Saccharomyces cerevisiae S288C: one gene and its partners. Changing the gene in region 3 together with the main gene of any one other region gives a genetic interaction. Each region holds a gene or a part of one and is shown on either strand. Other genes may lie near its edges.

Evidence for each region.
Region 1: mutations in DGR2 (region 3) and TLD1 together harm fitness more than expected from each alone (negative genetic interaction), as found in Saccharomyces cerevisiae (one large-scale study listed by BioGRID).
Region 2: mutations in DGR2 (region 3) and GGA1 together harm fitness more than expected from each alone (negative genetic interaction), as found in Saccharomyces cerevisiae (one large-scale study listed by BioGRID).
Region 4: mutations in DGR2 (region 3) and IAI11 together harm fitness more than expected from each alone (negative genetic interaction), as found in Saccharomyces cerevisiae (one large-scale study listed by BioGRID).

What each region holds. Positions count from the first base shown.
Region 1 is NC_001136.10:1,010,439-1,013,553, forward strand, and holds TLD1 (triglyceride-associated lipolysis regulator TLD1), read left to right. Parts: upstream 1-1,813; coding exon 1,814-2,521; downstream 2,522-3,115. Other genes in the region: DON1 (Don1p), read left to right, coding at 1-835; YDR274C (uncharacterized protein), read right to left, coding at 1,151-1,522; PMP3 (Pmp3p), read right to left, coding at 3,038-3,115.
Region 2 is NC_001136.10:1,188,287-1,192,232, reverse strand, and holds GGA1 (ubiquitin-binding protein), read right to left. Parts: upstream 2,175-3,946; coding exon 501-2,174; downstream 1-500. Other genes in the region: EAF1 (Eaf1p), read left to right, coding at 1-297; CNL1 (Cnl1p), read left to right, coding at 2,666-3,034; SPC110 (Spc110p), read right to left, coding at 3,292-3,946. UniProt on the Saccharomyces cerevisiae protein: May play a role in the regulation of membrane traffic through the trans-Golgi network.
Region 3 is NC_001143.9:212,444-217,294, forward strand, and holds DGR2 (Dgr2p), read left to right. Parts: upstream 1-1,698; coding exon 1,699-4,257; downstream 4,258-4,851. Other genes in the region: signal recognition particle subunit SRP21, read right to left, coding at 52-555.
Region 4 is NC_001134.8:108,694-111,795, forward strand, and holds IAI11 (Iai11p), read left to right. Parts: upstream 1-1,900; coding exon 1,901-2,186; intron 2,187-2,255; coding exon 2,256-2,551; downstream 2,552-3,102. Other genes in the region: Arf family guanine nucleotide exchange factor YEL1, read left to right, coding at 1-1,302; CMC2 (Cmc2p), read right to left, coding at 1,432-1,727, 1,813-1,846; protein phosphatase regulator SHP1, read left to right, coding at 2,744-3,102.

The DNA of each region.
Region 1 (3,115 bases), on a different chromosome or scaffold from region 3:
AGAATTGAAGATAGCATTTCCAGAAGTAGATGATACATTAATTAAAGCCATTTTAATTGCCTCCCAAGGGGTTTTGGAGCCGGCATTCAATTCTTTACTCTACTACTCAAGTCCGGAGGAAAACACTGACTTTGCATTACCAATGAAGCCGATAAGTGTGGAAGACTATAGTAAAATAAATGTGTCTGAGATTTTGCAACGTGAAATATTCGATGATATTGAAGACGAATTTTCTGGTCAAGGAATAAATGGCTCCATGGTAATTTCAAAAATTGAATCAGAACTAAGTTCTTTGGCCGAACACATTGGCAACATTAGCACCCCCGGATCGAATAGAGAAGTCGCCGAATCGACTAGGAACGTGGCTGTTGCAGAGGGCCATAATACAATTTTATCAAACGAAGATAGTATACTCAAGGGAAAAGAGAAGGGAAAAGAGGAGGAAAAGGAGAAGGGAGAAGAAAAGGGAGTTAACAGCTTAAAAGGCGCCGCTGTGAAAGTTGTTGCGAAGTCATTGAAGAATAATCGCATTCCCGTCACTGTGAAGAGAAATGAGCCTTCAAACAATTTATTTGACGTTTTAAACTGCGACGAAAGCGAGGAAGAAGAAGAGCAAGATGTCGAAACCAATACGTCGAATCAAGAAAGGAAGAACCAGGGCGGTAATACTGAAGTGCCGGAGGCTCAGCGTGACAGTGCAGATAGGTTACCTGCCAAGGACGACGGTGGATACAAATCTGCCTTTGGCACTGATAGTTGTGGTCTATTTGCAGCTGACGCTAAAGATGAAAAAAAGCAGGTTCATCCATCTAGACAAGAATTAAGTTTTACGTAGTGTATAGCGGTAATGTTTATTAACTCTTTCGGCAAAGTGCGTTTGGGCTCGCAATGAACAGACACCACCATTGCTTCTTCTGCGCTTATTTGCCTTTGTTGTATATCTAGTTCTCAAAATGGAGTCATTCATCAGTCGATGTGTGGGCGGAAATGACGTTCATCTAGCAATGGCACACTAGTTTTTACTCAACAATTCAAACTCAATGGAAAGCCAGGAAGTTAGCGCCGGGAAACTTCAGGACAATATAAAAACAGGACTAACGGAAGAAAATAATGTGGGCCTTTTTGAGCAACGCTGACGGTAAGTAGTTTCCTACGATCGTACAATCCCGGAAAATTGTAGTGGTGCAAGAAGGGAAAAGAATGATGGCGAAAAATGCACGCGCGTAAATAATGATTTGTCGAGTCCTATTGACCACAAAACCCGCGGAAACCTAGTTAGCCCAAAAGGAAATGGATAGCATATGAAAAACGAAACGAAACGTCCTTTTGCACGGCAGAAAGAGCTTAGTAGGACCCGGGACAAATGCAAGTTAGATTCCTTGATTCCCGAATGCTCGGTCTTGCGTTTCGCCGTGGCTGCATGGAAGGTCATCGTACGGGTACGGGCAGTCTGGCTGAGTGGTGCCGCCAAAGTGCAATAGCTGTCAGTAGGGCGTGAGGAATGTAAAAGGCAAGAAAACATGTACGAGGGAAGAGAAGGGGGCAAAAGAAAGATAATAGGAACGGTGTAGATGAACTAGAAAAGGTTCAAGAGATGATAAACGTGAAGGGAGTGTCATATCTACCGACATAAAGATAGAGATCTTTTTTTTTCCTTTATTTTTTTTTTTGATTTTTTTTTTTGATTTTCTTGATATTAGTTTTTAGAAGTCCTTTGACGGGGCAGCCGGAGAATATATACCAACGGCATTCTATTGTCTTTTTTTCTTCCTTCCTTGCCAGGCATCTGCATCCATTATTGCCTTTAGTTACAATGTTTTTTTTCCCGAAGCTTAGAAAACTTATAGGTTCAACTGTGATCGATCACGATACCAAGAACTCATCAGGAAAGGAAGAGATCATGTCAAATAGCCGATTAGCACTTGTTATTATCAACCACGCCTTTGATAAGGTACTATCTTTGACGTGGCACTGCGGGATATTATCCGAAATAAGATCAGGACTGATGTTAATGTTTGGCATTTTCCAGTTGATGTGCTCTTTGGGTGTCATCGTATTGCTGTTGCCTATTATCATACTGGACGCGATCGATCTATTCCTCTACATGTGCAGGTTGCTTGATTACGGTTGCAAGTTATTCCACTACAATAGATCATCATTACCGGTGGCAGATGGAAAAGAAAAGACCAGTGGTCCCATAAGCGGAAAGGAGGAAATAGTTATTGATGAGGAGATAATTAATATGCTAAATGAATCCTCAGAATCATTGATCAATCATACTACAGCTGGTCTGGAATATGATATTAGTTCAGGTAGTGTTAACAAAAGTAGGCGTTTGAATTCAACTAGTACAGTTACATTTGTGAAGCAGAATAAACTTGTTAATGAAAGGAGGGAAGACGCCTACTACGAGGAAGAGGATGATGATTTCCTATCAAATCCGAATTATGATAAGATATCATTGATCGAAAAATCATTCACGAGTCGTTTTGAAGTGGCTTGTGAGCAGAAAGCTGCTTAAATTGATAATCAAGGTCAAGGCAACGCAACGCCACTGCTAAGAACACTTATTGCTACAGAAAGGAAACTAAAAATAATTATAAGGCTAGAGAGAAATAAAAACAAAATAAGAGAGATAATATGGGTAAGGGTCTGCCACCCATCTGATAAAAGGCTGTTCTATCTTTTGGAACTCTACAACACAGGTAAACGGATGATACTGGCTATATTTATATAGATAAACAAACTTGCAGGACAGATAGTTAAGCGTCTATATCATGTGTATTTTAAGCGAAGAAAAAAGTACAAAAATGATAAAAGGCAAAAAAGATGAGAAGTTTTTTTTGTGATAAAATTAATTATTAAAAAATACACACGTAGTTAAAATTAACAGCGGGGGAGGAAACCTTAAGAGAAAGAGAAACAAAAAAAAAGAAAGGAAACAAATAAAAATGAGGGTGACCCGAACATGTTGATACCGTTTCCTAATACTGCTTCCTTATTTCATTTGATAGTTACTTTCGTTTATTGAATGAGCTTAATCTTGTAGGACAATGTACAAGGCATATAGCATACCTGGGAACCAAGCCAAAATGGTCAAAATGATATCCACTAT
Region 2 (3,946 bases), on a different chromosome or scaffold from region 3:
CAAAAACCAGACATTGGTCCTGAGATGGCCCTTAAGGCGGCAAAAAACTATTATAGAACCTTGAGAGAACAACAGCAACAGCTAAAGCAGCACCAGATTCAACAGCAAAGGCAGCAGTTACAGGAGGAGTCCAGTCATGTGCAGCAACTGCAGCAACTACAACCAGGGTCTCAAGCTCCGCCACCGAAATCATCTCCATCTCAATCTTCTCTTTCCAATATTTCTAACATTAATTCTGCTCCAAGGATAAAGTCACCAACTCCACAGGAGATTTTACAAAGGTTCCAAAAACAATGACCTAACTTTACGACTTTACGATACTGATCTTTTTTTTTTTTTAACCAGGCTTATATTGGTTTTTTGATTTTTATAAATTTACGAATACTATTATATATAAGTAAAACGTTTTACTTCTCTGGTTTAGTATGTTGGCGTAACACTCTGTTCTCTGTAATATAATATGGCATCTACTTTTTTTTCAACTTCTCTACCGAATTTGATTATATTGTGGGCAAACTGGTCGTGCCCGATTCTTCCTTCGAATCACCCTTGGTGCAGTAATTAGCCTTCCATTTCAATTTTATGGGCTTACCTAAATTAACAGATATACCCTCTACGGAAGCAATCTGTTTGATACCATCTCTGGAGTTACTTTGGAGCATATTGCCCGATTGCGGTTGCAGAGACAATGTCGTGCCTTTAGGTGATGCCACTAAAAGTGCAAAATTAGTTATTGGATCACTGCTTATGTTTGAATAGAAGATAACTAATCGTAGTTTTGTCATCGACTCACGAGTTAATTCGTAATCAATGCGTAAGTGATCCGATTGGTTAAGTATATGTCTTTGCGATTGAGCTGTGATTTCCTTGGAGTTACTTGAACTATTTAGTAAACCATTAGGTAGAACAATCGAGTTAGAATATGCGGACAGAGCGGTTTTACTTTCTCCAGGTTGCGAATCAAAATCTAATAAATCTATACCAGATGACTTTGAGTGAGCGTCACCAAGTATATCAACAACAGTGTCGTTTTCTTGAGGAGACTTTGGGGATGATAAACTTACCTTATTAAAATCCCCTAAAAGATCGTCAAAAGGTTGCAAAGATTTGCTTGGAGATGTCACAGATGGAGTGTTTGCTGTTGTATCGTCATCAAAATCTATCAAATTAAGCTCTTTTGCCGGTTCATTCGTATCGGGGACATTTAGTTCTTCTTCCTTCATACCTTTTATTGACTTGTACCTTTTTAACAATTGGATCACTAGATCGTTAAATTTTGATAGATTACTAACAAGCGCATCGTCATCGCGTTCTTCCTCAATAAGCTTTTTGAATTTCGGCTGCGCTGATTTTAAGTCGCCATACAATTCTTGAATAGCTTCATTTTCAAGATCAGGCTCATCGGCTGAAGTCAACATTTCGTTGAATAAATCAGCTTTTCTTTTGAGTTTATTTAGTTCATTGTTAATTGCTTGTTTGACTGCTACTTTAGTGTCATCCTTAAATCCCGCCATAATTTTCATCAGTTTATTAGCTTCTTTCAAATCATCGGGCTTGCCGCTTCTTAGCAGCTCTTCTAGTTTTGCAGCTTGAGCTCTTTCCTGTTCTTCCTGTAGCTCACTAGGTGTCCTCAGTTGGTCATTCGGTCTCAACACCGCCAAGTTTTCACTCCCAACTTTTGGGAAAGTATAACCCTTGTATTTCAGTAATTTATGCATGTCGTTGATATATTGAAGATCATCTTTGTAGCTGGCATGTTTGCAGATGGTTTGGTACCATTCCTCGATGGCTTCAAGAATCATTTGTTGCACCTTGGAATATCTCAATGGTGGTTGCTCTGGAAATCTTTTCACTAGATCATTTAAGAATTCCTTCCTGGAGATTTGCAAATGTATAGAGTAACCACAATTTTTTACCAGCACGTCTAGTAGTGAAAGTGCAAAAACAGCTGCTTGCGTGTCCCCATTATTGACCAATTTTTCAATTGCTAACACAGCCTCTCTAGGGGTTGCTCCTTGCTTTGAGTTGATATAGTCAGCTACATCTAAGTTCAAGCCCAAATCTGGTTCAGGCAATGTGGATCTACACGCTCTTTGTATCTTTCTGAGTAGTGAGCTCTCAGTAGACCGCGGTTTTCTGACTGGTTCGGAGGTAAGCTCAATTCTTTGTGGCATTTTAAAAGACTCTTGTCTGGGTTATACTTGAAGTAGTGACTTGTCCCAAATTGCTTCTTTATTAAGATATTTTTTATATAATGATATAAGGGTTTTTAACTTGAAATGGTTATGCGCAATATTCACCCCTTTAAAAATACCATTAGGTTTTAAGTTATAAATTTTAGGGCTTTTTGCTAATCTGTCATAGGTTATTGAGTTAAATAGCAGGTTATTTTAGGTTTTGCGATTTAAAATATTCGGGGTCATTATTTGTTTTTTAGCCGTTTTCTAGAACATGGTAAATGGCCAAAATTGCTGCTATTTCCACAGAGGGAGCCATCCACAGTAGCTAAAATAAGGACTTAACAAGTTTTCTCCAATTTGGGTAATTTCAGTTACAGTTATTTTTTAACCATAACACAAAATTCGCGGGGTTTTTTTACATGAAATTTGTGTATTTTAGCATTCATTAGCAGTATATTCAACTAGGTTAGTTGGCCTTATTTAGAATGCAAGACAACTCAAGTCATTCCAGAGAGTCGGCTTCGGCTGGTGACGATCCTCTTGGAATTGATAAATTGACAGTCGACTACGATTACTTACTTTATAAAATGAGAGACTATGTACAGAGTATACAATTGGATACTACGGAGCTATGTAAAAAACAAAATGAAGTGATGGTGAATGGTATTATTGAAAACACCATAGATAAAAATATTGCGAAGTTCAAAGAACTCCTTGAAAAATGCGATACGTTGGAAAATCACTATGAAATGTTAAACCAACTGGCGATAATAACAGATACTTTCAAGGAAAGAATCGCAGAGGCCGTAAATAATTACAATAGCTTAAAAAAGGGCGCCAGTAAATCTAAGTAACTTATAATACAAATATACCACATACATAGATATACCCTACGTATGTTTTATGCTGTATTTCTATTGGAGAAAGAAATGAATAAACGCAAAGTAGTCAATACTAGGGAGATTAGCACACTACAATCTAAGGTCACGATCTCAGAAACAAAAAGGTTTCTCATCTGTTTATGCTTCCACATTCACGGTGGCTCGCTTGAAGATCAGTCTGCGTAGGAGTCGATGTACATACGAGAAATATGATGATAGAGTAAGCGATACTACCAAGATATACGCCCGCTGCTACTCTCAATTCTATCTCTTAGTATTCGCAATCTGTTATCGTCTGATCTCCTGTAAAAAGCAATCCTTTTCATCCTCACACAAGCAAGCACTAAAAGGGCAACTGTTTTGAAGCTTAAGCGGCGTTCGAAATAGGGACCTCTTCTGTTTAAATTGAATCTAAGCGGGTATTCATAGTCATGATACCTTGTATAAACATGGCTATTGTAGTAATCACGATCTAGTTCATCATCGTCTGGAAGTGAAATGTTTAGACTGTGCTCACCTTTCCTTGTGTCCAATCTTAAACGACGGGTCCCCAAAGCAAGAACCTTGTTTAAATAATCATTGATCACCTTAAGATCGTTGTTGTGTCTTACTTCTGAGTGATACTTCAATTTATAATAGCTTATGATGTCATTTAATTGCATAGTTGAATCATTGTCTTTACGCCTCTCATTTAATATGAGGCGTTCTTCAAGTCTCCTATTTTCCTCTTGTAAAGAAGTGATTTCACTCAAATAATTTTTTTTTATCCTAGTCATCTTGTCTTCCATGATACGAATATTATTGCTGTTTTCATTCAACTCCTCTTTCTCTCTTCTCAAACGATCATTAGCAGTAATCACCTTCTGTAGTTCGCGTTTATATTTT
Region 3 (4,851 bases):
ATATATATAGTATTTTATTTCATATTCAATCTCCTAGTATACATGAAATATTTAACGCTTTTTTTTGCCCTTGTTTTTATTTTTTTTCTTTTTTGAAGCTGCAGAGTTACCATTGTTATTTTGCACAGCATTAGCTTTTTGCTTCGGTTCTGTAGCAGTTTTCTTAGCCGCAGGATCGCTCTTTTCGACATCTGTGTTGACAATTAAGGTGGCTAAACCAACAATGTCTTGGATGCTCTTACCTTTTATTTTTTTACTCGATTCTTTTATTTTGTTATTTTTCTTCTTCGACTGTGCTATTTTTTCAATTTTACCTGGAGTTATAGATACGCCTCGTGGGCCTAATGCACTAAGTAATCTTGAAACATCTTTACTCTTATTAGTAGTAAATTTATAGTTCAAGGATAAATGCGAGTTATGAGTTCTAAAGGACACTTTGGTGTCTGTCTTCTGTGTTGGTGGTTTATACGATATGGAGAAGAGCGTTTGAGATGGATTCACCTCAAAAAGGCGAACACTGTTCGTGATGTAGTTGTCAATGGGTTTCACAGACATGTTTTCCAGTTCAATTAGGTCTGTTAATTTGCTCGCGGAGGGAAGCTCTTTTATTTGGGTCAATCGAAGACAGCACAATTGAAACTTTTAGCATTGTTCTCGCGAAAATAGTCAGTTCTTAACTTTTCAAGAGTGGTGCGGCTTACCCTGCCTTCTGCCATAAGTAAAAAGTGACGCAAATAGCGGAACTATTGTCATTGTTATTGACATTAATAATCTGTATTTGTGCTCATCCGGTTCCATTTACTAGTATGCAGACGTATCTTTTTCAGCTGGACGAATTGAGGCTTTCATTAGCTAGTGTGGTAATGACAAACTCTTTGCACTGAGAAAATACTGGGGTGAGGAAACTTTTCTACCGAATTGCTTCCACATCTATCAAAGCATGATTATCAAGTATTCAAAGATCAAAGCATGATGTTTGCAAATAATAAATGTTCAGGCGTCATTTAATGTTGATAATGGTGTACGGGAAGTGACTTGTAAAAGGTAGGGGAAACCGTCAGTCTATCACTAGTGGTGTATCTGATGGAAGTGCCCTTTTATATTTTTTGCCGTACACAGGTAAAGAAATGAAAGTACTAATTATCCCCCATACTCTTTGTTTCTCTTGTGTTGTTTATGATCAATCCTTCTAATTTAATCATTCAATAACTAAATATTTAAAAAGATGTAATTGCCGCAAAAAAAACTCTCAATTATTTACTATTTTGAAACAGTCTCTCAGATAGTATGCGCCATATTGGTGTGATGATTCCTGTGAAAGCATTTTTGGGTTTGTTTAGGTGCCTTCTTTTCTTTATTTAGCATAACCGCCAATACGGAATGAAAAGTCCGTTTTAATGTACCGCTAATAATTCAAAATGCGTAAAAGAGTTTTCATAAAAAGGGTATTTGCGTCAAGCAGGAAGAAATTTTGAAAACAACTAACAGGCAACTTACAGGCATATACTGACTTTAGTAAACGTCTTCCGCTATTCTAAGAAGGAGCTGACTTGAACAAGATCTTTATTTTAACGGTGCGACAAAAACAAGGAAAGTTTACAAGCGCTAGCCGTCGAAGACGTCAATTGCACTATTACTCAGTACCGTTTTAATCCTTACCAACGTAGAATTACTATTTGTGCAGTAGGAGCCTGTGAAATGTTCAAGTCGAAAACAAGCACTTTAAGCTATGATGAAACCCCGAACTCCAACGAGGGTGATCGCAATGCAACCCCTGTAAATCCCAAAGAAAAGAGCCAAACGAAACATTTGAACATACCAGGCGACAGGAGCCGACATTCCTCTATTGCAGATTCAAAAAGAAGCTCTTCTAGATATGATGGAGGCTACTCTGCCGATATAATTCCTGCTCAATTAAGGTTCATTGATAATATAGACTACGGCACGAGGCTGAGAAAAACACTTCACAGAAACTCAGTGGTTTCAAATGGGTACAATAAACTCAGTGAGAATGACCGATGGTATTTCGACCTATTCGATAGGAAATATTTCGAAAACTATCTCGAAGAACCCACATATATTAAAATATTTAAAAAAAAGGAAGGATTAGAACAGTTTGATAGAATGTTCTTAGCTCAAGAGTTGAAAATTCCCGACGTTTACAAATCTACAACCTACCAGGGAGAACCTGCAGTTGCTAATTCAGAGCTATTCAAGAATTCAATATGCTGCTGTACGTTCAGTCATGATGGTAAGTATATGGTTATTGGTTGTAAAGATGGCTCTTTGCATCTTTGGAAAGTCATAAACTCACCAGTTAAGAGATCCGAAATGGGACGCTCAGAAAAGTCAGTCAGTGCCTCTAGAGCAAACTCACTAAAGATTCAAAGACATTTGGCGAGCATTAGTTCTCATAACGGCTCCATATCAAGTAATGATTTGAAGCCGAGCGACCAGTTTGAAGGACCTTCCAAACAATTACATTTATACGCACCGGTTTTCTATTCTGATGTGTTTAGGGTTTTTATGGAGCACGCTTTAGATATTTTGGATGCAAACTGGTCCAAAAATGGATTTCTAATAACAGCATCAATGGACAAAACTGCAAAACTATGGCACCCTGAGAGGAAATACTCATTGAAAACTTTTGTTCACCCAGATTTTGTTACATCCGCAATATTTTTTCCCAATGATGATCGTTTCATAATTACCGGATGCTTAGATCACAGGTGTAGACTGTGGTCTATACTGGACAATGAGGTTTCTTATGCCTTTGATTGCAAAGATTTGATAACATCCCTAACATTATCTCCTCCTGGTGGGGAATATACAATTATCGGTACATTCAATGGATACATTTATGTTTTACTGACACATGGATTAAAATTTGTATCTTCATTCCATGTATCTGATAAAAGCACTCAAGGAACCACTAAGAATAGCTTTCATCCATCTTCCGAATATGGAAAGGTCCAACACGGCCCTCGAATCACGGGTTTACAATGCTTCTTTTCTAAGGTGGACAAAAATTTAAGATTGATAGTTACGACAAATGATTCAAAAATTCAAATCTTTGATTTAAATGAAAAAAAACCTTTAGAGCTTTTTAAAGGATTCCAAAGTGGTTCCTCACGTCATAGAGGCCAATTCCTAATGATGAAAAATGAACCTGTAGTTTTCACGGGAAGTGATGATCATTGGTTTTATACCTGGAAAATGCAGTCCTTTAATCTTTCAGCAGAAATGAATTGCACTGCTCCGCATAGAAAGAAACGGCTGAGCGGCAGTATGAGTTTAAAAGGGCTGTTGAGAATTGTATCTAATAAGAGTACGAATGATGAATGTTTGACAGAAACGTCAAACCAAAGCAGCTCACACACATTTACCAACTCATCAAAAAATGTTCTTCAAACTCAAACTGTTGGTTCTCAAGCTATCAAAAACAATCATTATATATCATTTCATGCCCATAACTCCCCTGTCACATGTGCTTCCATTGCTCCCGACGTTGCAATTAAAAATTTGTCCTTGTCAAACGATTTGATTTTCGAACTGACTTCACAGTACTTCAAAGAAATGGGCCAAAATTATTCAGAATCTAAGGAAACATGTGATAACAAACCTAATCACCCAGTTACAGAAACAGGAGGATTCAGCTCAAACCTATCGAACGTTGTGAATAATGTTGGAACCATTCTAATAACAACAGACAGTCAAGGTCTAATCCGTGTTTTCAGAACTGATATCTTACCGGAAATACGAAAAAAAATAATAGAAAAGTTCCATGAATACAATTTATTCCACCTCGAAGCTGCTGGTAAAATCAACAACCACAACAATGACAGCATATTGGAAAATAGAATGGATGAAAGAAGTTCCACAGAGGATAATGAGTTTAGCACAACCCCACCATCTAACACGCACAATAGTAGGCCAAGCCACGATTTTTGTGAGCTGCATCCTAATAATAGCCCGGTGATTTCCGGCATGCCATCAAGAGCTAGTGCTATTTTCAAGAATTCGATCTTTAATAAATCCAATGGAAGTTTTATATCCCTAAAGTCAAGAAGTGAAAGTACGAGCTCCACGGTGTTTGGACCGCATGATATTCCGAGAGTTTCTACCACTTATCCGAAGTTGAAATGTGACGTCTGCAATGGATCTAATTTTGAATGTGCTTCCAAAAACCCCATTGCTGGCGGTGATAGCGGTTTCACGTGTGCTGATTGTGGTACAATCCTCAATAATTTCAGATAGAGAATCAGAAAGTAAGAGGAAAAACTATCTGTTCCACCGTCTTTAGATCATAAGCATGTCTGCAAATAACATAGTATTATTATTTATATCTGTAGCGATCTTTATTATTTTTCATTACTGACACATTTTCTCACAGAACCATCTACAACCCGAAAGATGCCGGAAACGGTCTTAGGCCGATGGGGTCTATTAGGGCCTACAGAGACGTCAATTGGGCTATAAGAAAAATGAAATCGAGGAAAGATTTTCCACTCTCAAATTAAGTAGGGCAAAAATATGCTTTTGTTCGCATGTGGTGTTATTCCAGTTGCGAGTCAGGGTCTGCCGATATGCTAAAGGAGGTCACGAAAACGAATCTGGCATTTAATACCTCATTAAGTTACAGCGGAATCGGCCTTCTGTTGCGGAAAAAAAAAAAAAAAAGAAAACGAACATTAAGCACCGCTGAAATTTCAAGCTGTGACTAAGTCGTCAAATGATAAATACTGCATATATATAAACTATGTGATTATATGCAACATTAAGATATACTTTCTTCTTCCATAATGCCCCCACTCCAGAACTCCATCCGAAATAGTTTTCCTTAGATTGCTA
Region 4 (3,102 bases), on a different chromosome or scaffold from region 3:
TCCGAATACTATAAAACGTTAAATGAAACGCCTTTACCGTTATGCACAGAATCTAGAACATCAATAAATATATCAGATAACCAATCTTCCTTGAAAAGGTTCTCTACTCTAGGATCACGGGAATTTAGTACATCAAATTTACGTAGTGTTAACTCTAATTCTACTACACTATATTCAAGAGATGGTCAAGTATCTGTACGAGAAATGAGCGCAAAATCAAATAAAAACTTTCACAATAATCACCCCATGGATGCACTCTACCTTAAAGAGTCTTTTGATGACGGTTTAATTACCGAAAACGGCTCCAGTTGGTTCATGGACGATTTAATTCTTATAAGCAAGAAATCTTTACCACGTAAATATTCTAAAAGAGACAAAGATCAAGTGGCGGCACCAAAAATGACCTCTAAGAGAAACAAATCGTTCTTCGGATGGCTAAAACCATCTAAAACGACTACACTTATTGAGCACACATCTAGAAGGACTTCTTTATCGTATTTGAATAAGGATTCTGAATGGGAGAGGGTGAAAATACAGGTCAAGGAGGGCAGAATTTTTATTTTCAAAATTAAACCAGATGTTAAGGATATCATCCAATCAAGTGAAACAGACAGTGCTACCATCGACTATTTCAAAGATATCAGTAGCTCTTATTTTGCTTACTCACTGCTTGAAGCTGAAGCACATGTCGTGCAAGATAATATAATTATAGGTAGTGGAGCAATGAAATCAAATGTGTGTAACAAAAACACCAAGAGGAAAAGTGGCAACTTTACCGTTAGTTTTCCAGAGAATATCAACGGACCAAAGCTTGTTCTGGAGTTCCAGACGAGAAGTGTTGAAGAAGCCCACAAGTTTATGGACTGTATCAACTTCTGGGCAGGTAGGATTTCTCCAGTTCCTTTAACACAATTCGAAGCCGTATCTAACGCAGAATATGGATGGAGTGACAAGATCTTGACAGAGCACGCTTCCCTCAATCTTAAAAATATTGTTGTAAGTGAATGGAAGCCACTATTGGGGCTAGAGCTACTATACGAAGATGCGAAAGATGTAGAGATGGTCGAACTAAAAGAAAGGCTAAAGGAATTGATGAACTTCACCAGACAGCTTGGTATATGGATAGATAAACATAACGAAATAAAGGATAAGCTGGTCGAAATTTGGAGCTTTGACGATAACTATTTTGAAGCAGTCATGAATAATTGGAATTCGAGATATTTGTATATGAATAATCAATATAAGAAACGACTGAGCTACTTGAAAGCTTTGCAAAAAGCCATGGGTTCTGTTCAGTTCTAAGTATATTTAAAGATATAAATATAAAGACTGCGCTGAAGAAATATAAACTTGAAAACTGTACTCTGCCTTTTATTTACAAGGGATATTGAGATGATTTGTGTGAATGAAGTAGCGACAGAAAAAAAGCTTTTATTTCGAGTTCGCATCATTGTCACTTTCCTGCTTTTTCTTGGCGTACTGTCTATCTAAGATAGTCTTTAATATAGCGTCCTCGCCATATTCTTCTTCCTCAATTTTCTTCCATCTCTTTTCTACATCAGCTCTCTTTATTCTACTTTCAATGACAGCACGTTTCTTGTTATTCAAACTTGCCTCCTTGAGACACTTGTTCAAAGCATCCTTTTCGTTGTTACAAAGGCCAAATATTCTCTTGTAATATTCCTTTTGATGGCATTTATCGAGTGCATTGATGAAGTCCAAACAGGCTAAAATGAAGAAGGGGAGAATACAATGTTAGTAAGTCGGAGCACAGAAAAAGGCAAATATATGAAGTAAAATCTGGATACTTACAATGAAAACGTTCAGCTTCTAACTGTGGATGCATGTTGTAGTACTTGTCTTATCTTGCTTTTGTTCAACTGCACTTGTAAATCAGTGAATGTTATTGGACGCGCAGCGATTTTTTAATAGGTCTTTCTCTATTAATGTAATATGCGAATTGAAACATAATGTAAACACAAGAAGAAAATTCGAAATAAAGGACTGGCCAACAATAATGTTAGTGAGCAGAAACGACAAGCCCAAAATCAGTAGTGAGGAAGTCACACATTTTATAGACGACTATAAAAAGAGGAGGAAAACTCAGATGACACGATTCTTCGGAATCACTATTTTTACACTTATAACATGTAGAATTGCCATGAAGAAAATGATAACTGCAAAAGGTATGCATAGGCAATAACTTCGGCCTCATACTCAAAGAACACGTTTACTAACATAACTTATTTACATAGTGCCATTGAACACTTTTCAAGCAAACTACGCCAGCCGGACGCAGACAATAACACACACACAAAAGAGTCTTGCAGGTTCTCTTTTAGCGGCAACGGGCATGACACTAGGTATATTTGGTATGGGCATCACAGGGACATGTTGGAGCTGGGATGTTTCATCATTTCAGGAACTAAAGCAACGTCTGGAAAGGCGTGCCAACAACGAATTTGTAGTGACAAACATGCCTCTGGATAAAAGAAGCCAGCAAGTAGTGGACAGCTTAGTTAAGACACACAATTCATCTCTTTGTAAATAGTGTTATACCATAGTAGTAGTTTCAATAATATATTCCACTACTTATATGTGTTACCCGCATTAGAACTCTTATTGGTGGCGAAAATCGATGGCAATAAAGAACGGAAGGGGTTTAATAGTTGTATGCTTAACATATTTCGATTTAAATATATAAGAAACGTCGGTAGCACAACAATTAACTCATTATTTAGGTATGGCGGAAATACCTGATGAAACCATCCAGCAGTTCATGGCATTGACCAATGTGTCGCATAACATAGCCGTTCAATATCTCTCTGAATTTGGAGATTTAAATGAAGCACTAAATTCCTATTATGCTTCTCAAACGGATGACCAAAAGGATAGAAGAGAGGAAGCACATTGGAACAGACAGCAGGAGAAGGCCCTCAAGCAAGAAGCCTTCTCCACCAACTCTTCGAATAAAGCCATAAATACGGAGCACGTTGGTGGGTTATGTCCAAAACCAGGATCCTCACAAGGTAGCAACGAGTACTTGAAAAGGAAAGGTTCTACCTCTCCTGAACCAACCAAGGGTAGTAGCCGCTCTGGAAG